Rhinolophus ferrumequinum: one gene and its partner. The protein of the gene in region 1 purifies or fractionates together with the protein of each later gene. This does not show direct contact. Links are inferred from orthologs where the notes say so. Each region holds a gene or a part of one and is shown in the gene's direction. Other genes may lie near its edges. The genes, in order: L3MBTL1 and ANAPC1.

What was found.
Region 2: the proteins of L3MBTL1 (region 1) and ANAPC1 purify together in Homo sapiens (affinity purification with mass spectrometry; 4 studies listed by BioGRID and IntAct, counting the BioPlex papers as one, with this or other methods). This does not show direct contact. The link is inferred for Rhinolophus ferrumequinum from reciprocal best matches to the Homo sapiens genes L3MBTL1 and ANAPC1.

The regions. Positions count from the first base shown.
Region 1 is NC_046306.1:13,771,740-13,787,231, reverse strand, and holds the start of L3MBTL1 (lethal(3)malignant brain tumor-like protein 1), read left to right. Parts: upstream 1-7,483; coding exon 7,484-7,619; intron 7,620-7,785; coding exon 7,786-8,012; intron 8,013-8,359; coding exon 8,360-8,501; intron 8,502-8,798; coding exon 8,799-8,949; intron 8,950-9,085; coding exon 9,086-9,218; intron 9,219-9,621; coding exon 9,622-9,703; intron 9,704-10,189; coding exon 10,190-10,278; intron 10,279-10,782; coding exon 10,783-10,887; intron 10,888-11,780; coding exon 11,781-11,916; intron 11,917-12,253; coding exon 12,254-12,345; intron 12,346-13,415; coding exon 13,416-13,567; intron 13,568-13,974; coding exon 13,975-14,051; intron 14,052-14,589; coding exon 14,590-14,675; intron 14,676-14,841; coding exon 14,842-14,952; intron 14,953-15,402; coding exon 15,403-15,492. UniProt on the Homo sapiens protein: Polycomb group (PcG) protein that specifically recognizes and binds mono- and dimethyllysine residues on target proteins, thereby acting as a 'reader' of a network of post-translational modifications.
Region 2 is NW_022680356.1:576,756-591,954, forward strand, and holds the start of ANAPC1 (anaphase-promoting complex subunit 1), read left to right. Parts: upstream 1-6,899; 5' UTR 6,900-7,111; intron 7,112-9,001; 5' UTR 9,002-9,025; coding exon 9,026-9,238; intron 9,239-10,239; coding exon 10,240-10,401; intron 10,402-15,052; coding exon 15,053-15,104; intron 15,105-15,199. UniProt on the Homo sapiens protein: Component of the anaphase promoting complex/cyclosome (APC/C), a cell cycle-regulated E3 ubiquitin ligase that controls progression through mitosis and the G1 phase of the cell cycle.

The DNA.
Region 1 (15,492 bases):
ATTCCTGGGTCCCCCAGCTCAGATTCTGCTTGTTTGTCTTAATCACCCTCTCAAAGATGGATGTTATTGAGAAGCCATGTGTTTGTGTAAGTTTCACCACTTTCTTTTAATCTTCTGAATACCTAAAATAAACCCTTGGGAATCCAGAACAAGCACAGTCTGGGTAGAGATGAGAGAAAAAGGAGCGGATGGTGTGTGTATTGATGTGCATAAAGAAACTTTTATTGTTATGGCAACCAGCATCCTCAACTGACGCAATCCTGTTCCCAATAATACGAGAAGGGATTTAAAATTCACATTGCAGCTAGGAAGAGCACATGCAACACACCGGCATAGTAACCAGAATAGTTAAAGTCTGCTTAAATTTAAACCTGATGATCACAACAATTTGGGGATTTTGCCTACAATTAATTAAGAACCCTTTTCTCATCTGAACTTGAAGTCAGGAGCCTAAACCGTAGGCCACATGGACCTTAATGTCCTTTTCTGAAAAATAAGGGATTCGATTAAATCATTGATGTGGGAAAGGGGACTGGGGCTCTGGAATGTACTAAGAGTTGCTCTGTTTCCATCTGCATGCAATACATCATGTAGTCAATAGATGTTTACTGAGCACCCACCCAGCACCCACCTCTGTGCTGGGTTCTAGGGATAAAAGAACTATTTCCTTTCTTCCTTTCTTCCTTCCATCTTGGAACTTGCGATTTCTTGACCTCGTGAATTACACAAATCTCTGTGATATGCGTAAGAGAGAGGTATTTTGGGCTACAGAAACCAGTTAAAGGAGATTGACTAGTTAGATCTTACGGAGGCAGAGAGATCAGCCCAGGAAATTGAAGCATAGAGGAGCAGTGACATGCTCCGGGCAATGCCACAACAGGAACCATTACTGAAAACAACCCAAGAAGTGGGTGATTGTCTTCACAAATGAAGCAATGGAGGATAAAGTGCTGTGCCCCATGTCACACTATCAGCCAATGGCAGTGGGGTCATCCAAACGCAGGCGCGGCTAATGCCACTTTTAACCCAGGCAGGGCCAGGGTCAGAACCCGCGCCGCGCACGGTCTCGGTTTCCCCGGTGGTACAGCGCTTCACCCCTCCTAAGGCCTTTTCGGACGCTCCTTTGGATTCCCTTTTGCAGGTGGGGGAGCAAGCACGGTGGGAAGGCGTTGGACAGCGCAGCGACCCGGCCGGGGTGCATGCGGCAGTGCAGCCTCGTCTTTTGCCACTGACCGTTCAGCCTGGGGGCCCACCAAGCTCCCTTTTCCGGCTCGGTGATCCCCACAACCGCTGCGTGCTGCTGGCTGTGATGCAGGGGGTGGGAGGCAGCAAGAATCTCCACCCGCCTAGCCCGCGCAGCAGTCTGGCCCTAGCGGAGAGGGGACATTAGGCCCACGCGGACGGCACTCGCAGGAAGGCAAGAAGGCTTGGGCGCGGCGAAGCCCGCGGGCGGTGTCCCCCAAACCCGCGCCGAACGCGGTCCGCGCTTCGCGTCCTGCAGGGAGGCGGGCCCGCCCCCCCAGCGCGCGCAGGCGCGTGCAGTGCGGGGCTCCGACCGTAGCTCCGCGCTGGGCGGCCACAGGCTGGCCTCGCAGGTAGGGAATCCGCGGGCCATGGGGTTGGACCCGGGAGTGTGGGGCTGCGGCGCCAACCGGCCCAGCCTCGCACGGTGAGGACTCGGGTCTGCGGCCCGGGTTCGAGGCTCCTTCCGAGCGCCTCCGGCGGGGGGCGCGGGCTGGGGTGGAGGTTCGCAAGAGCGGGAGCGGGAGAGGGTCTGGCGGAGTGCGGAGGGCCGCGTGGGTGCGGGGTTCCAGGGCGACGCGGGCGCGTCTGCGGTGCGACTGCGGGCCGCGATTTGGAAGCAGAGAGGGAGGAGGCTTCGTGTTTAGAGAAATGCAATCAATTAAGAGTTTTTCATTAATGGAAGGAACGGTGTAGTATAGGGCGGGGTTTCGGTTTTCTTAGGAAATGGGTCGTTTGGCAAACTTTCTCTTCCCTTCCGTTCATTTCCGATTTTTATAACGGGAAATTGGATGATGATGATGATGATGATGATGATGATGATGATGATTTTTGCTATAAAGGGAAAGAATAAAAAGAATTCCGCCATTTTGGAGTTTTAAAAAGTAATCGTTCTGCGGGACCTAAGGATCAGTGACCACCCCCGCCCACCGCAGTCTATACTAGTATCGGGAGGACTCGGAAGGCGGAGGCGGGTCGCGACCCTGGAACCCGCTTCCACCCCCTGGGGCGTCCCGGCTGCGTAGGGGGTATCTATCTGCGGCGCTCACTCCCCACCCCCCCACCTAGAGCGAGGGCATTTATTGAGCGTCTGTTGTATACGAGGCCTCGAAGGGGAGAGGGTGGGGGGAACCCTTGGCCGACAGACCGAGAGAAAAAAATAACCGCGGCAGATTCATTCAGTAAATATTTATTGAGCACGTGCTATGTGCCAGACACCGCTCTGGGCTGGGAATCCAATGTTTTAGATCCCTGGAAACAGACTCTCTGAGAGGGAGGTTTGAGTGTAGGTTTATGGGGGTGCCCTCGGAAATATCACCCGTAGAGGACTGAGGACAGCAGGGTGGTTGGGCAGAGGGAGAAATTGAACTGCCGTGGTAGTCTCAACGGAGGCCTCAGCCTGTCCCAAACGAAGCTCTGGAGCTGAGATGGCTTTGCAGAGGTGTCCCAAATTGAGGCAAGGGGGCGGAGCCTTTATACCCGGTATCAACTAGTCCACGGATACCCGCTTCCAGGAGAGGGCACTTGGGCGAGGCAGCTCCCCTGGCTGAGGGCAATTCTGAGAGAAGCTGACAGCTGAGGGCTACCAGTGACAGCCTTCACAGTAGTTGGGATCTCCCGCTGTATCTCCTACCTCCAGCCCCTGAGCTGCACTGAAAGAGGAAAGAGTGCCTATTCTAGCCCCTGCGGCAAGAATGGCTACCCCGTTTATGGATCTCAGTACCATTTGTTTCTTATATCATTTACCACTCTTTACTCCTAGCTCTGATTCATTCATTCAGTGGCTATTTGTGGAGTGTACTTTCTGGATCAGGCTCTTTGCACATCAGGTGCTTTGTTCTGTCTCTGGGGGAGACAGAGCACTTGATGCATATAGCTAGATTGTGATGGAGTGGAGCACAAGAGAGGGAGTGATGAACTTTCCGGGGTGGATTCTGGGAAGGCTTCAAAGAAGAGGTGTCACTTAAGCTGGATCTTGAAGGATGATTAGGAATTTTCCAGAAATATGGGATGTGGAAAGGTTCCAAACAGAAGGAACAGCATGTGCAGAAGCCACCACAGAAGTGGGGTTCTTGTACCTGGCTCAGGCCTGGGAGCCATAGCAGACACATTGTGCTGCTGTGTGGACCTAGTGACAAAACGCTTATGAAAATGCTGTGTGAGCTGCAAATATACAGGGTGGTAGTGGTAAAGGAGGGGTGAATTCAAATCAGAGAGAAAGCAGTTCCAGGCCTCAGAAAAGCTAATGGTCTAGTTGGGGAGAAAGAATGGAAACAGTAGGTGCTGCTAGCTAGGAGTTTCAACACCACGGGTGCATTAGTTCCTCTCCGCTCCTGCACATTCAAGATCCTGTCTTCTAGAATTATTCTTTTTTTTCTAAACATGTTTTATTGTGAAGTGTATCGTACATACAAGAACCTGTATGAAACTTCCATAGCCAGTCTCGACATGGCTTCTTCTTTATATCTAGAATTATTCTTTTTTTCCTGCACTGTCAGTGTCTTCCTCTTTATAGGCTCATTTTCATCAGCTACAAACATGCTGTAACATTTCCTATTTTAAAAAGACAAAACAAACAAAAAGAACCTTTCCTTGAGACCCATCCCTCTCCAAATACCAACCTCCATTTGCATGCTCTCCTTCACATTCCAGCTTCTTGAAAGAATTGTTAGACCCATAGTTTCCAGTTTGTTTTCTCCCATTCTTCTACAGGACCCATCCTCTTTGTCAGTTGCCCCGCTAGAATGTAGACCCTGTTCACTGACAAATCGGCATTGCCTGGAACAGTGCCTGGCACATACTAGGTGCTCAGTAAATGTTGAACTTAATCGATGATTTCTCTTTAGAACCCACTCGGATCAGGTTTTTGTGTACACAGCTCTTCTGAAATGGCTTTCGTCAGAGTTTCTGATGACCTCCTTATTGCTAAAGTGGTCAGCTCTCAGCCCTCATTTGACTTGATCTGTCAATGTCATGTAACACCCTTGAGCAGTCCCACTTTCTGAAAACTTGCCTCACATGTCCTCCAGAAGACCAGACTCTTCTGTGTGCCGTCACACCTCATTGCAAGCTCCTTCTAAGTCTTTTGCTAGATCTTCCATTTCACAACCTATAAGTCTTGGTGAGCTCCAAGGTTCCCACCTTTTTCTTGATTCTCAGTTCTAAGGTTTTCAGTGCCATCTATGCATGACAGTTTTCAAATTTATATCTCCAGCTTTAACCTTATTCCATATTTCTAGAACATAAGCTTCACGAGCACACTTTGTCTTATTTGAGACTATATTTATTCCCAGAGCACAGAATGGTGCTGTCACCTAGTTGACCCTCCAATGTGTGCTGAAGAAAAGACAGCAAGCCTGAACATAAGGGCAGTCGTTTTCATCGTTCTTCCTTGATAGACCTGAAACATGTGACATGTTTTGAAACAGAATGGAATTCTTTCAGGAGTAACCACATTCACTCTTAATGACTGCCAATGTTTTGAATAAAAAGATTGGCTCTATTGAAAAGAATTTAAAATGGTACAACTATGTCAGCTGTGCTAAGCAAAATAATTGGAATTGAAATTCAGCGAATTTTACAATTTTTAAAAAAGGGGAAAACAGACCTTGGTGTGAATGTTTCTTAATTAAGCAGATGACATATCTCACCTTTGCTTACCTGATTATATACTCAATGATATGGAGGATGGACTCTGTATTTTAAGGAGGAAAAGCTGGAAAATAAATGAATGCATGAGAACAGCAGGATGGAGAGACAGCAATGATTGCAAACTGATTTTGCAAGCAAGCAGCTTACATGTTACTGGCCAGAAAAACTACCAAGCTCCCTGGAATTTCCCTGGAATTTCTTTTAAAAGGGAGTGGATTAGTAGTTGTTGGTATCAAATAGTGTGCTGGTATCAAGATTTCACTTATTTTTTTCATTTGATCTTCATCAAAGCCCTTTGAGGTAGATATCATTACCAGGTTCATTTTACACATGAAGAAACAGAGTTCAGAGAGGGTAAGCTGTTTACTTAGAGTCACAGGTATTGAGTGGTGGAGTGGAGATTCATACTCTCTTAACTGTCTTAAGTCTAGGCCCATGTTCTTTCCTTTGAACTGTATGCCAAAAACCTGTATGCTAACACCTTAAAGCAACCAGGTATCAACACAGTGCTTTTTATTAACAAGTTTAAATTACTGAAATCCAACACAAATTGATTGAAGACCTACTGAGTGCCCAACACCATTCTAAGTGCTGGGGAGATAGCAGTGAACAAGACTGATAACGTCTTTGCCCTCATGGAACTTACATTTATATGGGGATGACTGATCAGACACAAATAAAGATCATTGTCGTGCGGGAGATCCTGCTCACAGCACTATGTGTCGTGCGAGGCGGCCTGCGGGGTCTCTAGTCCCACTCCCCACATAAGAATGCAGGATGTGGCTAGGCCAAAAAGGAACACCCACGGAGCCATAGGTAGGGGAGTCATACCACTATAGTCTCACTGGAGGCTGGATTCACACGATGTGCGACCTGCTGTCTGTTTTTCTGCCTGCCAACCGACTGACTCCACCCTCCAATGCAGCTGCGGCAGTTATATCGGTGGCCAATTGGCTAACCGGCCACAGCTGACGGCCATCTACTACCCGAGCCAGCACCCCTCCACGTGAGGCCGAGAGCCTGGAAACTGCTTTCTGGGGCTCTGTCCCCACAATCATCGATTATAATGAAGGATGTGAAGGAAATAAGCACTGTAATAAGCTAAGCAGTAGTAAGAAGGGGTGAGGGGTGTGCTGCTTTAAATTGAGTGATTAGGAAAGACCTTCTGAGGAGGTGACCACTGGGCTAAGGCCTGGAGGATGGGAAGGAGGTAGCCAAGCAGAGAGCTTGGGGAAGAGCATTCCTGGTGGAGGGAACAGCAAGGGCAAACAAAGGCTCTGAGGTGGGAACATGTGTCAAGCAGTAGAAACCAGAGTCTGTCGAGGGTGGCGAACATGGGGAAGAGGGTGGAGGATGAGGTCAGAGAGGAAGATGGGTTATATTCTATAGGGTAAAGCACTTTGATTTTATTCTAAGGGCAGTGAAGAATTTTGGATAGGGAAATTATGTGATCTAGTTGACATTTTTAAAGCTTTCTCTTACTGGAAAATACACTGTAGAGGGGCAGGAGAAGAGGAAGGGAGATGGGTTAGGAGGCAATTTCTGAAGTCCAAGGAGAGCTGATGGTGGTTGGGACAAGCTTGGTGGCAATGAGATGGAGAAAAATGGTCAGACTTTGAGATATGTTTTGGAGGTAGAGGCAACAGGCAATTATGATATGTATAAAGTTGTGCTGTCCAATACATGACTATGGCCACTGTGGTGATTTAAATTAATTCAAATTAAATAAGATTAAAAATTCCATTCCTCAAGTCACACGAACCACATTTCCAGTGCTCAGTAGCCACATGTGGCCAGTGGCTACTGTGTTGGACAGTGTAGGTACAGGACATTTCCATCATCACAGAAATTTCTACTGAACAGTACTAGTAAGGCGTCTAGGACAGTGGCCCACACATTTTGGCAGTTAAGTAATGATGGATATTGAAGTATATTAAATATATTTATTAGGTCTTTTTCCCTCCTATATTTCCCAGTTCAAACACCTCTTTATTAAATGCCAGTATCGCCCTTGCTTTATTAAAGCAAAATCATGCACTGCCTGGGTTCTCATATATTACCTCTTTGCTCTTCAGAATCATGCATTTATTCAACAGATGTTTGAGTGCCCACTGTGCTTGGGGAGGGCGTGGTGGACAGGGTGTGGGAAAGAACACATACCAGTGAGGGAGAACATGGTGCTTGAGGGCTCTGGGTCCCCAGAGGGCGAAGGGAGTGATTCCAGTGGGAATGGAGCCGGGGTTGAGAAAGAGGGAAGTTTGGACTTGGCCTGGGCTATGTCATGAAGACAGCTGGCCAGACAGAACTTTGGCCTGAGACATTCTCCCCAGAGTCAGTTCTGTATGTCAGTTTACAAAGGCACCCTCACACATGCCTACCTTACAAGACTGGGAGAAATGTAGGGCCTGGCCCGAGTCCTCCCCTGAGTGATCTGATTACAGCCAGTAGCCAGAGTTAATGCTAAGCTCCTAATATATCTAGTCCCCTCAGGGCTGAGGCTTTTCTCTGAGGGTGGGCAGCTCCTCCTCAAAGAAGCCCCCTCCCTCCCTGATCACCCTAGAGGCTGTGTTCCACTTGTAGGCCTTTCAGGATGGAGGGGCATGCTGAAATGGAGATGCTGAGGACATTGAAGGGGTCCTCCACAGGGGAGGTCAGCGTGCATCTGGTGGCCAAAGACAGCCCAGGTTCCAGCCCTCACCTGCCCACTGCGGCCTTCATCATTCCAGGTGGGCCAAGCCAGGGCCTGGGGAGGAGGAGCATCCCCATACCTGCCCAAGCAGGTGTGGATCCTGGGGAGGAGATGATATTTTTCACTTGTGTACACACATGCATGGCAGGATTGGGGCAGAGCCACCAGGCTCACCTGTGTTGTGTCCGTGTATCTGTTCGCAGCCACCTCTGCCACCCTTGGCCTGCCCAGCAGTGCCCTGGATGTGTCCTGCTTTCCGCGGGATCCCATCCATGTGGGCACCCCTGAGCGAGTGACCGGTAGCATACCTGTCACGGCCACCGTTCTGCCGCAGTTAAGCGCGGGGCCGGCGGCCAGCTCTAGCGTCAGCACAGTGCGGCTTCTGGAGTGGACGGAGGCCGCGGTCCCGCCTCCTGGGAGCGGCCTGCGGGTCAGTGTCTCTGGGGATTGGCGGGGCCTAGCGAGCCGCAGCTGTGGGGCGGAGCCTGCGGGCCCGGAGGCGGGGCCTGAGACTGAAGGTGGAGGAGGTTGGTCGAGGTGAAGGATTCAGTGGGTGGGGCTTTGAGTGAGGTGCTCTGGGGGCGTGGCTTGGAGTGAGGAACCCTGGGGCCGAGGCCTGCAGGTGTCTGGGGGCGTGGTTTGGGCAGCCAGGGGCGGAGTCTTGAGGGCTGCTGGGGGCGTGGCTTGAATAAAGCGGCGGGAGGGGTCCGGTACGGACTGGAGGTGGGGCAAGGGCCGGTACCCTAGTCGCCGTCCTCAGACCTTCCTGCGCTCCAGTTCCGAATTAGCGAGTATGCGCCACTGAACATGGTGGGAGCAGAGCACCCACCGAGCCCCGAGCTGCGGCAGGAAGGCGTGGCGGAGTACGAAGCTAGCGAGGCCTCCGCGGGAGGTGGCGATGCGAGTACTCAGCAGCCGGGTAGGAGCCCCAGGCCCCGAGCTGGGTCCCTGCGCGGCTGGATCTAGGCCTGAGCTCCCTAAGGAGCCTCGATCCCCGGCAGGACCAAAGGGGGCGTGCCCCGGGTACCTGCACGTGCACCCAAGGGTTGGTCCTGAGGTGGAGAAGGCTGGGGGGCAGGGGCCTGTCCAGTCGAGGAGGCAGAGGAATTGGGACCACGGTGGAGGCAGGGCCTCGGGGTCGTGGGCGCCGACGTGGGCGGAGCCTAGGTGTGGCTGGGACGGGGTGGGTGGCCTGAGGCCCCTTTGGTCCCCACAGGGGATCTCCCCCAAGACCCTCCAGAATATCCCCCTCAGGATCCCCGAGAGGATGATGGCAACTGTCAATGCCAGGCATGTGAGCCTCAGCAAGGCTCTGGTCCAGATCCTGGTTCCTCCAATGATGGCTGCGTCCAGCTGTTCCAGGAGCGGTAAGGGGCAGGGTTTACCACTCTACTTGCTCTGCTTTTGGGTCCCAAAGCTGCATTCCAGTTCCTGGCTTAGGAGAGGGGCTGGGTGGTGCCGGGTGGGTGGGTGGTTCTTTCCTTCAGGCTGCCTCTCCCTCAGGTCAGTCATAGTGGAGAATGCCTCTGGCCAGAACTCGTGCACCAGCACTTCTGAGCTCCTCAAACCCATGAAGAAGAGGAAGTACAGGGAATACCAGAGCCCCTCAGAGGAGGAGTCAGAGCCAGACACCGTGGTAGGAAGAGGGCTGTGGGGAGGAAAGGGGGGGGCTAGATGCTATCCCTCAATTCCTACTATTCCCTCCATCAATTCAGGTCTTGGGGTGGGGCCAGAGAAGACAATGACTCAATCATCATTTTTTTTGGGGAGTCTCATCCTTAGTCAGGTGTTTGTGTCCTGTTTCCCCACCTGGGAAGGAGGGGAATTGTAGTCAGGTTGTGTCGCTTATGTGAGTCTGTGTCCAAGTGGTAGGGGCTGGTCTGCTGGAGCTGTGTTCCTGCCGGGGGCCTAGAAGAAATTCCACCTGTTTGGGGCAAAACACCTGTGGCCAGAGAGCCAGACAGCGGCCAGGAATAGAGACTGGGGCTTCTCACCAACCCAGGAGGACAGGAATCTGGAATCAGGCTTCCCTTCCACAGGAGAAGCAAGAAGGAAAGGATCCAGAGGGACAACCCACTGCTCACACCCCAGAAAGTGAGGAGTGGAGCAGGAGCCAGCCTGGTATGGTGGCCTATGTGTACATATTCATGTGACGTGTGTGTACACATTTGGAGGTGTGAGGCTGGGAGAGTGGCTGTCGGTTGTGATGGTGTGTTGTGTACATATAAATGATCATGAGTTAGAATGTGAGAGAGACAGAGAATGAGAGAAAGACAATGGTTCTGGTTTATGCATTAGTGTCTATGTGTTCTTGGGGGTTTTATCATGTCTTTGTTTATCCTCTCTTCAGTTGTGAGTAGGCTTTATTGCCAGGCTAAGTATTCAAAGACTCGAATAGCTTTAATGGCATCACATGATACTGCTTCCCTTTGGTGGTGTGAGCAAGTCTGTACGGCTCACTGGCCGGACCTTGCTGTTTGGGCCCCCACTCTGACCTTTGGTTCTAAGAAAAATGGAACAAGGCTCGTCAAAATGAGCTCAGGCCCTTGGGCCTTCGCCATTACCATCTCCACTTTCCGTGTCAGCCTGTTTGTCTCCTGCCCACAGTGTCAGGGGAGAAGAAGGAAGGCTGGTCCTGGGAGTCATACCTGGAGGAGCAGAAGGCCATCACTGCCCCGGTCAGCCTCTTCCAGGACGTGAGTGGGACAATTTCCACCTAGGAAGTGCTTGTATTCCCAGTTGAGGGACTCGCCACCAAACTCAGGCCTTCTGGTGTTTTCTGTGTTTGATACCCCTTAAAGGACTGTCAGAATGGAAAAGGGAGAGATCGGTTAGGGACCCAGAGTAGAAAAGGGCCCACCCTAAGGGGCTTCCAGGGTGGGAAGAAATACAGAGGTGGAACCCATCACCAGGCCTGCAGACTTTTGAATTCTGGCACCTTCTACTCAATGGTGTATGCTGATCTTGCAATGATTGGGTGAGAGGGAGACGTTCAGTCCAGCCCTGACTCAGCTCACAATTTTCAAGGGGTCTGGGAGCTCTTTATCCCCCTCGGGATCCCTGCACTTAGACCCCCAGTTAAGTTATCCCTTTGTAGTACCAGGCGGGTGAGGCCTAAAGGCCGCTCCTTCACCCCAAGCTCACCAGGTAAGGATAAGACTGGATGGAAGCTGGGTCCTGTCCAATCTGTGCGTTGACAGTACCAGGCGGTCACTCAGAACAAGAATGGCTTCAGACTGGGCATGAAGTTGGAAGGCATCGACCCTCAGCACCCATCCATGTACTTCATCCTCACCGTGGCCGAGGTGAGCTGAGGTTCGCACCACTGTGTTGGTGATGTTTCTCAGGATAGATCGAGCGATGGAGCCCGCCAGGGGCATGGAGGGCCTGGACTCAGAGGAGGGAGACACTGCCCCGCACGCAGAGAGCACACAATCTAATAGGGGATTAAGGTGGCACACACAGAAAGCCAGAAAAATGAACAAAATCCAGACGAAGCGTGAGGGGTGGTGGTGGCACTGAGTGAGTGTGTGCTTCAGTGCTGGGGTGACCTGAGGAGGTCACGAGGGCAGGACGTTAGCATGAGTCCAACAAGGCCCTTGTCCTCTAGGAGCTCCTAGTTGTGTGGGAATCAGCCAAATAAACATAGCAGTGACATGCCACAGGTGTGGGACAGGCATGCACAGAGAGACATGGCGGGGGCAGGAGAAGCTTCCCAGAGGATGGGCCTCCATTGTTGAGTCTTGAGAGAGGAGTTGGGAATGAGTAGGGTGTTCCAGGCAGAACCAGCAAAATGAGCAGAGGCTCTGGGGCTGGGAACAGGCCACCTGTCCAAGGAGCTGCCATGAATTAGCTCAGTGGGGCCAGTGCAGTGTGTGAGTGGGGAGCCGCAGGCGAGGGCATCGGGGCTCTGGACAGGTCTGAGCTCTGCTCGGTGCCCTCGGGGTTCTGGCTGGGTCTCAGAACAGCAGGAGGGTGTCATAGACTGTATCTGTTGTATACCCAGAACGAGTACATGAACTGTCCTCGTTACAGAATAGGGGAGTGTGGGACAAGGTTCAGCATGGGGGTAAACCTGGGAACGAAGAGAGGTGGGGAACCTGCTAGCATCAGCCCCAGGCGGGGCAGGAGAGGTGAGGGAAAGGGAGTGGGTGTCTGCTGGCATCGGACTCCATGTGATTCCCCTTCGTGGGCCCAGGTGTGTGGCTACCGCCTACGTCTGCACTTTGACGGGTATTCCGAGTGCCACGACTTCTGGATCAATGCCAACTCCCCTGACATTCACCCCGCTGGCTGGTTCGAGAAGACTGGACACAAGCTGCAGCCCCCCAAAGGTAAGGCCTAGGTGGGTTGGTCACAGCGAGGCAGTGGCCCACAGACCCATCCCTTCTTTCCACTGGTCTCCCCTTTCCCCAATGCACACCCAGCCTCTCTTCATTACTTCCTGTTATGACTCGGCCCCAGGGCTTCTGTTTTTCCCTTGCCCTTTGAGTGTCCACCCGGGTCATGTCCTGGTTCGGCAATGGGTCCCTGGGCAGGTTTCTGAGGGATGTGGGGTCCTCAGGCCTGCCCGATCTGCTGCTTCAGTGTGGGGTGCCCTCGCCGCGGCCCAGCCTCTGTCTGCATGGCACTCTGTTCATCCACACCCACCCCGCCCCCTGAGGGGCCTAGGTTACAAGGAAGAGGAGTTCAGCTGGAGCCAGTACCTGCGCAGCACAAGAGCTCAGGCTGCCCCCAAGCACCTATTTGTGAACCAGAGCCACGTGAGTCCCCAGAGCCAGAGTGGACACCCGCCCCAGGGAGAGCCACTGCAGCCCGCCCAGGTCTCTGACTCATCAGAGGAGAGTTCGTCTACTGGTGCTCTCAACCCTCTTCCGGTCTCATCCCAAATGGGAGGGGCACACGGGGCAGGCCAAGGCCAGAGCGGGAAGCCGGCCGTAGGTTCTCCCCCAGTTCCCTCTACAGAAATCCTCTCCTCCATGTGTCCCTTCGGAGTATCTGGCCCCCCAGCTCAGCCTGGGCTCTCAGATGTCTTTGTTCTTGTTTCTTGCTTTGGTTTGCTCTGCAGTTCTTGGTGTGAGGTCCAAGCCCCTATCTATTCTGGGAGCTGCTTTTTCCTTCCTTTTGCCCGACATCGAGGCTCTGCCGTTTAGTCCCAGCAGCTCAACCCGTCACCTTTTTCCCTGTTAAAGGCAGCTGGCAGCTTTCTCCAGCAGTTAAAGTATCTCCTAATCTCAACCAAGCAAAAGGTCTGAGAGATATGGGGAACCCCCATTAAAAATGTCACTGTTGAAAGTTTAGGGTCCCTTGGGTCAGGGACTCCACCGTGCTGTTCAGGCAGTTACTCCCAACGCCCCCTCCCCCAATCCAGCCCCAGAGACTGTCCTCGCAGTTTTCCAAGTGATTGGTGTGGTTCTACCCACTATTGTGACAGGGGATGCAGACTTTTAAGTCAAACTTTAAATCCGGGCCCCACCATTGACTAGCACTGTGGTCAGGGCAAGTTATTTAACTTTTTAAATGGGGATGATGACAGCCGGCTTGTAGGGTGGGGGAGGCTGCGCTTAGCCTGGCACACGCTGGGTGAAGGTGTAGCCTCCTGCCATTCACTCATCCTCCTGCAGAGAGAGGCTTCCTCTGAGTGCACCTTGGGGGCCAGACGTTCCTGAGTGACGCGGGGCTGGGGTTTATGATTCTGCCTAATTCTCCCCTGACCAGCCCCCAACCCCCAGGATGACCCCGAGAGAACCCCCGCCTTATCCTTGCCAGTGCGCTCTGGGCTAGCACTAGCCTGCCTGGCTCTGGCCATGGCAGCCCCTCTTCTTGCCCCCAGAGTCCCCCACCCCTGGGCTTCCAGGTGGGCATGAAGCTGGAGGCTGTCGACCGCATGAACCCGTCCCTCGTCTGCGTGGCCAGTGTGACCGACGTGGTGGACAGTCGTTTCCTGGTGCACTTTGACAACTGGGACGATACTTATGACTACTGGTAGTGGGGGGGCCCAGACTCGGCCTTGGGGGTGAGAGGGTGGCGGGGGGTGGAAGGCAAGACTTTCAAACCTTAGGCACCATGTGGCCCCGACCCAGCCCTGACATTCATTTTTGTTGAATGTTCTGTGGATTTGATCTGTATCAGAAACAACTCAATATTAGAGGTTCGTCTAAAAATACCAAGGTCAAGAGGAGCCCACCCCTGCGATTCATGGTTTTCCCTTCGATATGCGGGGGTGCTGTTAGCGTTTTTAGTTAATGCTGCAGTTTTCTGACTTTCTCATCAGCCCACTAACTTTCCCTAAGAAGTAGAATGAGGAAGGACCTGATACCATACTGTCATAGAACGGCAGGCTCAGGGCCTCCACGTTTCACTCGGGACAGTGAAATATCCTTGGATTTCAGGTGTGATCCCAGCAGTCCCTACATCCACCCGGTGGGCTGGTGCCAGAAGCAAGGAAAGCCCCTCACCCCTCCACAAGGTGACTCTGCCGCCTCAGCAAACGCCCTTTCCCAGGCCAGGCTCCACACCCCTCTCCCTGATCTCGTACCTGTCTGCGACATGAGAACTCTTTGATTTTAGGAGAGTCTTATCAAACCCTGACTATGTGGAGGTTGAAGGGAAGACAGGTAGATGACCTCCCCTCCCACCCCACCCCCCAAGCAAGGGCGCAGGAGTCCAGAATGAAGGCAGTATATCCTTTCCTCTTGGACTATTACGCTGGCCCACATACAGCAAGGGCTCAGATGGGGCTGGGCTGGACCTAGAGCAACAGGACCAAAGAGCGGGATGGGAGCAGTGTCCCCAGACAACCCTGTGAACTGTGAGGTGGTGATGTGCTTGCTTCTGACTGGCACCCCTCTGCCTCGGGGACTCCCTGCGAGGAGCTGGCTGTGGTGATGCAGGGGACCTGGTCCTCCACGACCTCTGTCTCTTCCACGCTCCTGGTCCTGCCTGGGGGCCCAGAGTTCCTCCAGTATACCTGGGTGCCGACACACTGTTCTCCTCCTCTCCTCCAGACTACCCAGACCCAGATAGCTTCTGTTGGGAGAAATACCTGGAACAGACGGGGGCTGCTGCTGTGCCCGCCTGGGCCTTCAAGGTGGTGAGTGGGCTCTCCCTGCCCCCAGAGCTGAGTTCAGGAAGGCATGGAGCCCTGGCCTCCCTTTTTGGCAGGTCCCAATTTTCCAGGCACAGCAGTTGGATTCCCTTCTTGGGGCCTCGGCGCTGCTGAGCTGGGCCTTGGCCTGAAGGCCGCTGTCCCCCTGCAGCGACCCCCGCACAGCTTTCTGGTCAACATGAAGCTGGAGGCCGTGGACCGTAGGAACCCAGCTCTGATTCGTGTGGCCAGCGTAGAGGACGTGGAGAACCATCGGATAAAGGTGGCTCTGGGACCCCTGTGCTAGGGGAATCGACAGGCAGATTGGACAGGAAATCTGTAGGCTGGTTATAGAGGTCAAGGGTATGGCATGAGCCAGATATTAGGGAGGATGCACGTTGTGGGGAAGAGAGCTCTGAACCTGAGGCTGAAGATCTTGGGTCGCATCTAGCCTCACACGTGACTTACCTTTGTAGGCTTGGGCAAGTCATTTCCCCTGTCTGAGCCTTAACTTTCCCATCTACAAAATGGGCGTAATAATCCTTGTCCTGCCCAAGCATTAGTAGGAGATGCCAGTAGCTTAATGAGTGAAGCCCTTGGAAAATGTGGTGGCCAAGACAGATTACTGTGGGGTTGGCTCCTTGGTTCTTCCAATCCAGAATCTTGCTTCTGACAGGCCCCAGGGATGGGGCTTCATGAGAACACCTGACCACCAAGGGTCTTTCCTCCCCAGCTCCACTTTGATGGCTGGAGTCATGCCTATGACTTCTGGATCGATGCCGACCACCCAGACATCCACCCCGCCGGCTGGTGCTCCAAGACA
Region 2 (15,199 bases), on another chromosome or scaffold:
TGGTGGGTAAGAAGACATATCTCACTGTGGTCTTGAAAATGTTGAGCACATTTCCTGTGTTTATTTTTCCATTTGCATATCATCTTTCATAAAATGTTCAAGTCCATGGTCCACTTCTTGTGTTGTTTGTAGGAATTCAGTACATGTGATTCAGCCTTTGTCAGGTACATGCAGTATTTTCTCCCAGACTGTGGACAGTCTCCTGTTTTATGCAGTGACCTTCACTCTGTTCTTAGCTCTCATTGCAATGTGGGTTTGCTCCTAACATGACAGCACAGCCATTGTCTTTTCTTGTATAATATCATGAAACACAGGCAGAGTATAACACGCTCCATACGTGTCAGTGTGAATTTGATATGTGATGTTAACATTGTGGTTGGGATTTTAAGATTGAGCAGCAGAATTGTTGTGGACAAGTGTTAGATGCTTCCCAATACGTACACCCAGATTTTTGTGTGAAGAACTGCTTATTCCTCATTGTGTAGAAGCAATGTGACCCATTTATTTCCAGACCTAAGTTCTATTTTTTTTTAATTAAAATCTATTGGAGGTGACAATGGTCAACAAAAGAGACGTAAGTTTTTTTTGGCTTAACCTGATTCCTTTCTATCTCGTGCAGTGAACAGGTCAAGAAGTGTGTGACTCAGTTTGTCAAAGGAGGAGAATAAACTCCGTGATTTGTGCAGAACGTATCACAACTTACAGGGGCTGACATGCACTTGCTTCTGCTAAGCCACGTATGTTTGGGTTTGATTACTTGTGACCAAAACACCCAACTACACAGTGATTTTGTAATTTGTGGTAGAGTTTATAGAGATGTCCCTGACTCTATCTTTATATCAAAAGTCAACAGTGACACTGACATTATGCTATCTATTCAGTCCCCGCTTTCTCTGTTTGTCCAGTGTTTTAGTCTCACCATCTATCTATACACTATTCTACCCATTCATTCATCTGCCCAGTCCTGTGATCTCTCCATTTTGTTCTTATGTCCACTTCCTCTCTCCTTATCTCTCTTTTCTCAATTCATTCATCAACTACTTTCATCTTTTTTGATTGATTCTCTCAGTTCATACATCTATGCATTATCTCATACATGTCTTCAACACAACAACAAATACTTTTTTGCATATGTACATTTTAAAATTCAACAAGGATGGTTGAAAACAAAAACAAAACAAAAACTATAGGGCAATTCATTAAAATACATGCAAAAATCCTAAGTGCAAATTTACTCACAGCAGTATTACAAAGGAATAGCACACTGAGAACAATTAAAGTTCTACCCAGTAATAAACATTCAACATTAATGGAATTCATACAATTAACAAGGGGAAAAGATGCACTTCAACAGAAGTCAAGAAATAGCTTCACCAAATCTTGATAAAATTCTGAGCAATTTAGAAACTTTTGAAGAAAATATTTTTTAATTTGATATAGGGCACGAATTGAAAATGTACCACAGACATGATATTTGCTGTGACAACATCAATAGCTTTCCCACTGAAAACAGGAGCAATAGAAGAATGTCCACTGTCTACACTAAAACCACGCCTTAGATTAGCAACATAAACAGAAAAGGAAATACTCCTATGAGGGCTAGAGAATGAAAAAGATACATGTCTTAAAGATCACATGTCTTAAAAAGTGCAGAGAATCAACCCACACAAATAATAGGAATCAAGAAGTTAGGTCAAGATTGATCCTTTTCATATACAACAGAAATAACCAGTTTGAAAACGTGGCAGAGAAAACGATTTCCCTTTACTGTAGCACCAAATTCTATAAACTAGCCAGAGCTAAGAGTGACCAGATAATGTATTAGCCATGTGTAGTATATATTGTATTAAACACATATATTTTTTATTATGTATATCAATCATATTACATGTGCGCCTGGATCACATTAATAAAGTGATGAGTAAAGGACAAATGGAAAGATAGAGCAGATCTGTGAGTGGGAAAATTCACAATTGCAAATAACATTCGTTTTCCTCCAAATGAATCTATAAATTCAACACATGGCCGGCCCAAGTTTGAAGTATTTGTCATAGCATTTCCACCACCGATTCTAATGAAAAAGTCTGCAAAAACAGCCTCAAGAATATTTCAAAAGGCAGCAATGAGGTGAGAACTGTGCGACCGGGTATGAAAACGTGAAAAAGTCTAGCACACTGAGAGTATAGCATTTCTTCAAGAGGAAAAAAAATCAGCGACATATACCAGGGGGTTCAGAAACAGAGTGATTTATATGTGGGAACTTAGAAAATCAAAAGGTGACACTTCAGGAAGGCAGCGTCACGGGGCCATAAAACGTGCCTCGGTTTTTGTCCCTCCACCGCCAGTGACAATTCAGGAAGAAGAGGAACAGTTCGACATGTGTCCATGGAGCAGAGCGCGTCCGCGGGGGCTGTGGGATGAAGCACGTTCGCCGGGCCGGGAGGAGCCTCGCCCACCCCTGCGCTGGTAAGAGGCAGACAGACCTGGGTCCCTGGGCCCTGGAACCGGGCCCTGCGGAGGCCCTGAGTCAGCCTTAGCCCCGCCCCGCCGCGGTCCGGGAGCCCCTGGAAAACAATGTCTTAGACAGTCACGCACGGAACAGAGACTTCCTGGGAGGGAGCCCAGGTTCCCAGCGGAAAAGTTCCAGTTTGAGCACTAATAGTAATACGACAAGTTTGGCTTCCCCAGCCGCTCGGGACTGCACCCCAGGGGCTGGCTTCTCTCTTGGCCCATCCAGAGGACTGACTTGTGAAAGGCATGAGGGAGGCGGGAAGAGGCAGGGATTGCTGCACGTAGGACTCTGGGAGGACACGAAAGGGATGCGGATCCTATTAGCTGCCTTGCCCGGGGACCCCCGGTGGGTGCGCGGCACCGCTAGTGTTCCGCCTGCCTCGCCCACCCCCTCCACCCCGCGGCCAGCGCCCTCTGTGCCCTCCACCCGCCGCGGCAAGATCGAGCTCAGGCCGAGGGCTCCGAGCTCCCGGGGAAAGCTGGCCGTTGTCTCCCGGCCAGGGAGAGACCGCAAACTTGAGCTTTAGCGCCACCTTTGGGAGAACAACCTACATTTTAGAGGTAAAACTATAAAATTTTAAGAAAACAAAGGAGTACATATCACAAACGATCGTGGACTTGGCGATAGATTCTTAGGTACCACCTCTAGAGCACACGCAATGACAGACACAAGGTAAGTGGGAATTCATAAATATGCCCAAATCGTGTCTCCGAGGGCACTATCAGGTGGGAAAGGACAACCCATGCAATGGGAGGAAATATTAGCAAAGCAGAGATCCGTGAAAGGTCTAGTACTTATACAGATAAAGAGCTCTTGCAACGTCTGATGGTTAGTGTTATGTGTCAGTTTGACTGGGCTATAGTACCCAGTTATCTGACCAAACACATCTGCAATCAATTGACTTTGGAGGTTGTTACTCTTGAAAATGGGGGTGGGTCTGTACTCAGCTGAAATCCTTAAGAGGAAAAATTGAGGTTTCTTGATGAAGAAGAAATTATGCCTCATATCACAGTACAAAATCTTGCTGAGCTTTTAGTCTGCTGGTCTACCCTACAGACTTTAGGCTTGCCGAGCCCCATAAGGACAAGAATCATTTCATGAAATAAATCTCTTTATATGCGTTTCTCTGTGTATGTACATGTGCATACATACATATATGTATAAACACACACGTATCTTCATGCTAGAAATATACATGTTCTTTCTCTCTGGAGAAGTCTGATGGATACAGGTTTTGGTAAACAGGATGGTTCTAGAGGAATAGAACCTAAAAGATGTGTTTTCTCAAGCAATCCTGGATCTTCTGGAATTGGTTCTCGAATCTGATTAAATATAAAGGCACAAATGACCGTATTGCCAGTGTTGAAGAAGGCATTGACAGTCCATAGTACAAGGTGGTAATAGAGATATACAAAGGATCACCACTGGATGGATATTCCTAATCAAATATGTATTTTTAAAAAGGTTCTAGGTGACTATGAATTTGATATTTTAGATCATGTTTTACAAACTAACAAATGTGGCAAAATTAGGTGATTGCTCCTACTTGCACTTGATTGAATAAGAAAAAGGTGAGCTCAAGGTGTTCAATTTCCAACGCAAGCGCCCCTCAAATGCCGAGAAATTTCTATATCTTCCCTGAAACTCTTGAGCACTAATATAACTTTAGCGCTGAGATGTTTGAAAACCTAACTCAGTCTCATCCTGCAAGTGGGTGAATTACAACCAAAATTGAATGTCTGTCCACATGGCAGTGAAAGTGATAGCGATGATTTAGAAGAAATAGGGTCCTAAAAGTTGGAATGGGGACACATGGGTGGTTCCTGATTAAGCGGGGACATTGAACTCCAAGACTGTGCAGGCTTCTTTGTGCAGAAGAAGCCCTCCCACTCCTGCCTGAGGAGCTTGCCTCTGCTTCTCCTAAATCCACAAGGATCACCCCCGAGGTACTTGCCTTGCAAGGCTCTATTACCCTGCTCAGGACCTGCGCCCACAGCCCTTTTTGCTTCCAGACTTGTTAGCAGACTCAGCTTCCAGCAGGTTCCAAGAGTGCGGTATAGACTGTGACCCACGAGGACTTCAGCTACACTCCAAACGAGCTGCACCCTTTCCCCAGTTCACACAGACAGAAATCTAGGAAAACTGTGGAGAAATGAGATGTTAAGGGTTTGGGATGACAGTGGAAGGAACATGCAGTTGGATTAGGTGCAACATACTGCTTGGGGCCCATTATGCAGACATGGTCTTCAATGTCATATCTCAAGGGGGTACAAAGTCCTCTAACAGCTTGTTTGCTGGATTGGTTTTGACATGGACCAAAAGGCACAGCACACAAAATGAAACTCAACTGCCTTGGTACAGTGAAGAAGGTGTCGGAATAATCACTCTACAGCAGCTCAGAGAACACAGGTAAACAATCTGACAACAGAAGGAAAACAGTACAAGAACAAATCGAGTTCAACAAACAGACAGAAAACATAAAAAACGTGAAAAAAAGAACCAAGCAGATTTCAGAGCTGAAGAATGTAGAAAAGCCAGATTTCAGTGATATGCCACCCTTGCTACAAATGTGCATCTCTTCGGAGTGACTGTCAGTTAACGCTGGGCCACTGGGTGCCCAGAAATGTGGAGTTGTCCCCCCTCGGCTGCATCACATATACAAGTATTGCAGGATCGGCATTCAGGAGCTTCCCAGTCCTGCAGTGGAAACCCTTTGGCATTCTTGCCTTCCCCCTGGCTCTGATCTGTATCGGGGGCCATCCACCCCATCTGTGCTCATGTTATGGCGGCCCTCGCACACTAACACAGTCTGTTGGGACACAGGGAAGAGGTTCCTGACAGCACTGTGGAAATGGCAGCAGAATTGAACCATGTCAAGGTCCAACAGCAGTAAAAGGCTGATTCGCTGAGAAAAATGACCTCCTTTATGGACTATTAAGGAGATGAATAAGGCCACAGCTCCTGACCTGGCCCACCTACCACACGGTTCGCTGTGCTCTGTGAGAGGACACGTTGCAGAGAAATGTATCCAATACCTTAATCACACACCATTTTTTGTACAAACCAGTCTACCAAATGTGATGATGCATAAGGCTTGGAGAAGGTCTGCAAAGACAGTTCAGCTGACTGTATCACAGGATACCTAGGGAGGTAAACAGTCAAAATTAGCAAAATGTAAGGACAGCATAAATGTTTTCCTCTACGATTCCAACAAACAGGTGAAAAGTGTATTTCTACCCCACCAGGCAGCTGGTGGGAGGAGAGAGGAACCAAGACCATGGCCCTGGCAGATTCAGCATCTGGCGAGGGCTCACTTTCTGGCTCATTGACGGCTGTCTCTTTTGCTGTGTCCCCACTTGGTGGAAGCGCTCCAGGGAGTCCTTTTCTTTATAAGAGCCCTAAGCCCATTCATGAGGGCTCAACCCTCAGGACCTAAGCGCCTCCTGAGTGTTCCACCTCCAAGCACCATCTTACAGGGCTTTAGGTTTCAACATAAGAATCTCGGGGGACACAGCATTCATTCCTCAGCAGGCTCCTTCCTCTGGGAGGGAAGCCTTCTGAGAAGAGGCCTATGAGCTAACCTCTGAAGGTTGACGTTGCTAATGAAGGGACAAGAATGAACACACACACCAAGGCCTCAGAGTGCAAGGTGTGTTTGGGGACTTCCAAGAGACCACTTTAGTGCAGACAAGAAGTTTCAGCCAATTTTACATTTCTGGATAAAGAATTTGAACTTTATTCCTTAGGCAACAGGATGCCTATCAATACTTTTAACCCAGAGATACTGCGCAAAAGAAGATTAGAACTCAAGGAAATTTTCTAGTTTCCTTAAGTGTGATATTGTGCAGTTAAATCCAGACAGGGAGGGCTGGGTAGAGCTGGGCTTCTTAACCCAGGTCTAGGAATCATGGGGATGGGGGGGCAGTAAGGGGGGCAGGGGTGTCTGGGAAGCTCAGAAATCGCAGGCAACGTTTTCGTGAAGGCATCCATATCTTTCATAGACTTTTCAAAGGGTTCAGGCCCCTCATGGTTAAAGAGAGAAAATCAGCAGGTCTTCTCTTCTCCAAGCTTGGAGAGGCAGGTACCTCCCATTGGGGAGTCAGTATAACTAGCAGGAAAGTCCCCTAGTTCAGAGTTAGGAGGCAGTTCAGACTCGTACTGACACGACTGGAGAAGATGTGAACGCCAGGAGGGTCTTGTCACAATAGTCCTGCTTCCAGGCTGGGCCGCTGCCCTAAGAAGGAGGTACCCTGGCAGGTAGGCCCCAGCATCCTTCCTGATACTCACTGCACAAAGGACCGCAGCTTCGCGCCTCCTGGTGAGGCTCCGCCCCTGAGGCCCCGCCCCGCTAGGTCCTGCTCCTGCTTGGCCCGGCGCGAAGCACGACGGGAAGCCAAGATGGCCGCCTCCATTTGAACTCTCCAGAGCTTCTCGCCTCACGCCCGCCTTTCCTCAGGTGCTGCTCACTCTTCCTCCAGAGTAGGGAAGGAGGGGGGAATGAGAAGCTGCAGCAGCCGAGGAGTCCCGGTGACCGACTCTGCCGCTGCCCTCGGGGAGCAGCCGGGGCTCGCCGCGCCTGACGCGTCCTGAGTTACTCAGGTAAGGGCCCGGCCGGCGGCGACAGGTCAGCGCGTGTCCCCTGACCCCCGCACCTGTCCCGAGGCCGACGGTGCGGGACCGGAAGGGAGGACCCAGCGCCCGGGGGCAGCCCAGCTTGCGGGCTGGGCTCTCCGGCGCGCCTCCCCGGGCTGCACGCGGGGTCCGCGTGCGGCCTCAGCTCCCAGATGGGCCCCTTCCCCTGCGACGGGGCTTTCTGAGGCCCAGGTTCTCAGCGTGTTGTTTTCACTGACCCCTGAAGACCTGAAGAGGCGGAGGAAGCTCTGCCTTTTTGCGGAGACTCAACTCGGGGTGCCTTCGCAGGGCCTTTCGGTGTCTTCTTGAACCAGCTTCGCGGTCGCTTCTGGGAGGGTAGCTTGGTTTCTAGTGAGCACTGATGATGTCTTGATTCTTAGCACGTCAGTTTAATATAGTGCTTTTATACGTGTGGCTCCTTACGTTGCCCCCATAAGTAAACACATACAGGTTTGAGGTACAGTGAAAGTATTAAACATGTTGCCTTAATCAGCACAAGATACTGTACTGTAAAAATAGTTCTATGATTAATAATTTTGTAATTTTCACTCAAAATTTTAAGATGTTGGTCATCCTGTTGACTAGAATATAATAAGAAGACCAGCTGAATTTTATTGTTTTCTTGTAAGTCTTCCGAGGCACTGTCTCAGTCATATTCCAAGTATAAGTGTTCTCAGTACTGACTTTTAGCAGGAGGAGAAAAGTGTCATGATTGTCATGTACAGTTGTCTGAGGAAGAAAGTTTAATTAACAGCAAAATAAATGCAACGCTTGCAGAGCCGCATGGGGACTCCAGGGGCCTTGACATATTGCAGCAAAGAGCCTGAAAGACCCCAGGGGAGAAACTAAGTTAAATTCAACTCTTTTTAGTGTGAATGCATTTCAAATACTCATTTGTGCTGACATTAGTGTTTGTTTTGATTTCTGTGTTTGAGGATTGCAGCTTAAATGTGATGCCACAAAACCCGTTTTTCACATAGGTGTTGTCTCGCAGACAAAACTAACATCCACCTCCTACATCACATTGTACAGTGTCAGAATTTGACTGGCTGCCACTTCCTGTTTGTAGAAATGTTTTGAAAGTAGAGGGGCTGGTTTCCACCCACAGCTCATCCACACCCTAGTAGTGATAAAGTGAACTGTACTAGATTATGTTAACTAGAAGATAGAACTCTTAAATTTGCAAGCAAGCATGACTGTTTCATGGACAGAGCTTCCTTAGGTTCGACCAAAAATTGGAATTGATTATGGTTATATGTTTAGTTGGATCGGGGTGTCAGAATTACTGATGACATGTGATAGCTTATTAAAGCAGTGGTTTAACTTTTGATGAATTAGAAGAAATACGTGAGTTCTGTTTGCTTGTTTGTTTCATTTCAATATGCCAGTGATCCTTTATATGCTTTTCAAATGAGATTCCAGCATCTGAACAGAAATGATGTTAAATGTCGAGAGCTGGGAAGTCATCGGACTATGAAGTACAACTTGTCTAAATACCTCAATGTGAATTATAGAAAAATTAGTGTATAGTGGTAGGAAACATAGGATAGGTATTGTGGGATGTAAGTGCTAGTCTCATCCCAATAGTTTCCTACAGTGGTAACTGTTGATCTGTTTGCAACAAAAAAGGAACTGTAATGTTAATTATGGAATGACAGTGTAACTGTAAAATGATAACTGCAATTACCTGAAAAAGTCAGATCTGGAATGTCCATTGACACAATGATCACTTGTACATCTACAGTGTGATAGAATTATGTGACACTTACCTAAAAATTAAGGACTAGTAAACTTTCATGATATTTTTTATTTTGTTTGACTCTAACATCTGACCAGAATGTGTTTCAATTCATACAGAAATAATGTTGATATTTGGAACCCATGTCGAACTTGTATGAAGACAGGGCAACAATGATTGCAGCCGGGGACTTGCAGGAATTTGCTCCTTTCGGTCGAGACCACTGCAGGCACCACCCTAACGCTCTGAACCTTCAGCTTCGCCAGCTGCAGCCAGCCTCTGAGTTCCGGTCTTCGGATGGTGCTGCTGGCTTGGTGGGATCCCTTCAGGAGGTTACAATCCATGAGAAACACAAGGTTCCGTTAAGTTTCTCACTCTGTTTTTGAAATGCAGAGTAATGTGTCCACTTGTAATTTAAGGTGCCCAGAGGCAAGTGCGAAATGAGTATGAAGCTACTTCTCGGGTAGAGGCTAAGATTTGGTCATTTTTATCAAGGCTAAAAATAATGAGTTTATCGTGAGAATCAGTCTGATTATGGTCCATTTTCAACCTCTTCACTTGGAATGTGGAGATCAGATTTCATGTTATTTGCTGATTAGATAGTAGAGTTAGGAATGGTCCCTGCTGCAAAAATCTTGTGTGTGTAGAGGAGAAAAGAAAAGCCACTGAAATAGCTACAGTAGTAAGTACTTCTTAGGTAGGTGCATAGGATGTCATTGTGTGTGTCAGAAAATCAGCCTTTCTCATCTTACTCCATTTTCATATCCCTTTTGGGATACAAAAATCTCAGGGAGGGGAAGGGTATGCAATTAGCAATCTATACCTTTCTCTCTCGCTTGTTTGGACCGTTGGGACCAGGGAAGGAAGGTGAATTGTCCGTGCACTTGGGAAGCAGGGAAGTCTGCATGGCGCATAGGCTCCCCTGGTGTTCCCACATGTGCCTCACTGGCCCTCCCCATTACCCCCCAGATACTTACTGTGTCTTTATAGTCTCCTAAGCTCTTGGGTTTCATTTTTCAATATACAGGTAAGGTGTGATTTTTGTTTGTTTATATTTTAGGCAGCATAATGTAATACTCTAATATAAAACACATACTATAGACACTTCGTGTGTCAGTTCTTGCTCATGAAATCCTTTTATGACAGATAACCCACACATCCACACACCCCACCCCCCTCTGTCCATCTGTGGCACCACACCTTCTAAGAGTTGGGCTGAGAGTGAGTCTTACTCCTCAGGCAAAGACAGAGTGGGATGGCTGTTTGATTTAATTAACAAATCTTGCTTCATACTACTGAAACAGAAAAATGAAAAACCCATGCTTGAACATGTCTAACAACTGTGTTAATTTTGAAGGAAAGCTGGCAGTTAAGGAAAGGTGTAAACGAAATTGGAGAAGAAGTGGATTATGATGAGGAACTCTACGTGGCTGGAAATATGGTGATTTGGAGCAAAGGAAGTAAAAGCCAGGCACTGGCTGTTTATAAAGCGTTTACAGTGGACAGTCCTGTTCAACAGGTGAGTTCATTTGAATTTTGCATTTGATTGACTATTTAATACTTTAAAAAAAGCTTTAGTCATAAAATTTAAGAGAAATGATGAAAAAAGCATAATGATCTCAGCAGCTGGGTTTCCAGTTGAAAATGTAGTGAAGATAATGGTAGGAAAAGAAAATTTTCAGTATCACTTTTTTTACACGATTCCTTGTCAATTTGGTGATAATCTTTAAATACTCTCCTTGTGAAGTAATTCAATTTAATATTGTCAGTAAAAACTTGTAAGACATTAAAGGTACAAGAATAATGTAACAATGATGATAATTGACTGCAAAGCACTGAATAAATAAAATTCACGTTCGTAGTAGTGCTTAGAGAGAAACGGAAACAAACTAATTTGCCATCGTTGCACTTGGCTGTTACACCTAACTCTAGTCTAAAAATTGATAATTTGAGGGAAAGAATTAAGCGCTTGCCCTGCTTTTTAAGGAAGGCATGCAGTTCATCTCCATTATTTATAGAAGAATGCCAGCTAATAAATGTAGAAGGAATGGTAGAATTAGAAAAATCACTGTTTTATACCCACCAATGTCATCGTTGATTGAGACAAGGATTGGAAATGGATACAAATGCCACTGGGTGGAAGGCTGTTAGCATGGCCCCAGGGTGTCACCCTGTGGATTGCTTGTTGAGGAAAGGGAAGAAATGTGTATCTACTGTGGAGCTATGTGTGGGTCTCCTCCTCCACCATGTGGTGGGGTTTACCATCCCTAAGAGGGGGACAGAGGAATCTGTGTACCTACAGGTGTAATGTAGCATGAAGACATGATGGCAACTACTCAGTTTTCTTCCCCCGAATGTTTGACCTTGTTATGAAGACCTAACTTCCAGTTATAGGAAACATGGGGACTGGAGGATTGATTTGTAAAACATCATGAGATAAGGCAAGGGTTGGAGGTACAGAAGAAACAACAGCAGCCAGAAGTTGATAATTATTGAAGCCGGGTAACGGGGATTCAGTAGGTTACTCTGTTTACTTTGTATATATTTGAAATTTTCTATAATAAAAAACTTAAAAAAACACCAAGAGGAAACAATTAGAGAAATCCAGAGTATGGGACAGTCCACATTGTGGTCTCTTGAAGGAGTCAGTCATGGAGGAAAAAATGGTGGGGACTGTTCTAGATTTGGAAGAGACTAAAGGAACATCACCAAATGTACCTTCTTGTTTTTTGTACCTTGTTGAATGAACTTTGATTGAATCCTGGTTCTAGAAAATTGGCTAAAAGAGACATTTTTGGGAAAATTTGAAAAAGTTGCAAATGGACTGGATATTAGGTGATATTAGAAAAATTATTTTCTCAGACGGCCGACGTTTTTGTGGTTATAGGAGAATGTCTTTGTTTCTGGGAAATGCGTGATGAAGTCTGTAGGGGTGAAGTTTCATGATGTGTGCAATTTTCAGATCGTTAGCCCCCTGCCCCCCCCCAATCCCGCCTGTACACAAGTGCACACATAGAAGCACACATGGCAAAATGTTAATAACTTAGATTGAAGAGACACAGATGTTCATTGAACTATTTCAACTTTCTTTCTGAAAAGTTTTAGAATTCAAAAGTTGGGGGGAAATGAATACATTTATAGTAGTTGAATTAATTCTTAGGCTATGACGAGGTTTTAAGGCCTTTTGACTAGGGTTAAGTTCCTTACTGGTAAACACTGAAATCTTGGTCCCTGGACACTACTTATTAGTTTTTTCCCCCACTGACTATTTCCTAATGAACATCATACTCTTCTAACAATATTTTGGGAATTATCTAAGATTTGAGGTTATATGTAAAATCATTTCTGTCTGGGGTTGTTGAAGCCAGTGATGCTTTTGATAATTTTCTGTTATGGACGCATATAATTTGTGTAGATATGATGATGTCCAGACAGTCGTTTGCTCCTGTGTTTCCGTCTTCATTTCTCCAAGGCACGACTGCCTCTTTCCTAGGTTCCCTGGAGGTGCAGTGATGTGTATTGTCTCCTTTCTGTTGTCTCCTTTATCTTAAGTCCACTGTGGGAAAGAGTTTGGCGGTTCCTGAAAACGTTAAAGCTAGGATCCCCCTGTGATCAGCCATTCCCCGTGCAGGTATACACACAAAAGCATTGAAAGCAGGGACTCAAACAGCAGCATTCACAGCAGCATTATTCACAGTAGCCGCAAGGTGGCGACAACCCAGGTGTCTGTGGACAGATGAACGGATAAACAATACGGGGGACATGCCTGCAAAGGAGTATCTTTCAAAGGAGTCCCTTAGAAGTGGGATTGTAAGCTTTGTAAATTCAGTTCTTTTGCTCTGGAAAACATGATTATGTAGACTTCCTGCTAGTAAATAATAATTTTATATTTTGGTTAGGTATTATGTGACTGAGATTTAGTTTACGCCTTCATTTATTCTGCAAGTGTTTAGTGTCACTGTCTCAGACAGTGTGCTGGGTGCTGGGGCGACAAAGACGAATCTACAGTTTGTGCCATGGAAGACCTCATGGTGTAGAAAGGTGAGCAAATAGACAGATACACTGAAACTGTATTCAGATAAATGGAAGTGCCGTGTCATAGCTGTGTGTCCACAGTGTGCTGAGAGCCAGGGGGCGGAGCTCTAAGGGAGGACTTCTCAAAGAAGATGCTGTTTGAATTGGAAGCTGGTAAAGAGGGCCTTCTAGGCAGAGGGAATCACAGCAAAAAGAATTATGGAAAAGCATGGCTCAGTCTAACTTCCAAATGGCTGCACACAGGGTGTGGGTGTGGAGAGGAGCTCGCAGGTGCTGGGTGGGACCAAAGTGAAGAGGCTTATATGCACCTGGGAACTCGGATTAGGAACTCAGAAAGAACCTAGCAAGGACCTTCAAATGGAAAGTGCATCGTCAGTTGTGTGTTCTGAGAAGATATTGCTTTGGCGGCAATAGGTAGCATTGGCTGTGGATTGGAGAGACTGTTGTCTGGGATACTGTTTTGTGACAGTTCAGGTGAAAGAGATCGGCGCCCGGAATAACGGGAAGACAGAGGTGAGAGACAGAGCTGAGGGACCTGTGCATGGAGCTAATGATCTCTGAGTCGTGGGGTAAAGGGGCGTGTGCAAATGCTACGTGGTTTCAGAGATGGGAGGATGGGACTTCATAAAAGGAAGCTGAGACGGTGACAGCTTAGACTCTGGACATTTCAGATCAGAGTGAAGCTCTGATATAGGTTTTTCATTTGCTGAAATGCCGTTAAAAACTCCTACAACTCAACAACAACCAAGACAACCCAATTAAAAAGCAGGCGGAGGACTTGAGAGGACATTTCTCTAAAGCAGATGTGCAGATGGCCAGTGAGCTCGTAAGAGGTGCTCAGCCTCGTTACTCATTAGGCAGATGCAAATCCAAACTCGGTGAGACACCACTTCTCACCCACAGGGACGCCTGGTATTAAACAACTGAGGAAAATCACACGTGTTGGTGAGGAAGGTGGAAAGTTGGAACCCTGTGCATTGCTGGAGGCAACGTAAAAAGTCCACTGTGGGAAAGAGTTTGGCGGTTCCTGAAAACGTTAAAGCTAGGATCCCCCTGTGATCAGCCATTCCCCGTGCAGGTGTACACACAAAAGCATTGAAAGCAGGGACTCAAACAGCAGCGTCCACAGCAGCATTATTCACAGTAGCCACAAGGTGGCGACAACCCAGGTGTCTGTGGACAGATGAACGGATAAACAATACGGGGGACACGCCTGCAAAGGAGTATCTTTCAGCCTTTAAAAGGAAGGAAATTCTGAGGGACGCTCACGCTCCAACGTGGTCGGACCCTGAGGATGTGATGCTGAGTGACATAAGGCAGATACGACAGGACACGCAGTCTGTGATTCCTCTTTCATGAGTCCTTTGTGTAGGCAAATTCACAGAGACAGAAAAGAGAATGGAGGCGGGGGGAGGGAGAAATGTGGAGTTTTGTTGAATGGGCAGTTGCTGTTTGGGATAATGGAAAAGTTCTGGAAATGGGTGATGTTGAGGTTGCACAACGTTGTGAGTGTAATTAATGCCGCTGAATCCATACACTAAAAATGGTTCAAGTGGTACATTTTGTGTAATATATTATACCACAATTTAAAAAACTCTTAAAAACGCCATTGAATATTTTCAGTGATTGTCAAGCATGCCAGTGAAAGCTGAATGGCTTTTTCTGTTTATTTTTTGTGAGATGGCTTTTTAAGAAAAGGAAATTGTTAGTTTTTCTAAGGATGTTTCTAAAGCGAGTCTAGGAAGGTTTAAGAATGAATAAAATCTGGAGATGATTAACTAGCTTGGCAATTTTCAGCTCTTCTGATAATTTTTCACTTTATATAGGATATAGCGTTTAAAACAGGTTGAGCCACCGTTTGAGTTAACTTTTGCTGCAAGGCTTCTATCTAGATTTTTGGGATTTTATCTTGCCTTCCCTTTTCATAAAATTTATTTGTAAACGTAGTTTATCTTATATTTATCATTAATTAGTCTAATTTTATCTTAACTCTTTTCTGTTCCCATGTTGTATGTATTGAGCTCATGAAGAAAGAGTTGTTTGGTAGATGTCATAATTATTATTTAAATACCATTAGTGACTATGTTATTATGTAGATACAATTTTCTTAGGAGAGCGTTTTGTTTTAATTTTAGGCATTGTGGTGTGACTTCATTGTATCACAAGACAAGTCTGAAAAAGCCTACAGTAAGTTTCTTTTTGAAATTTTATTGTATCTTATGATTCTGTGTTTCCCGTGGTTCTTTTGTTGAAAATAAGTAGCCACTAAAAGGCTTAGGTTT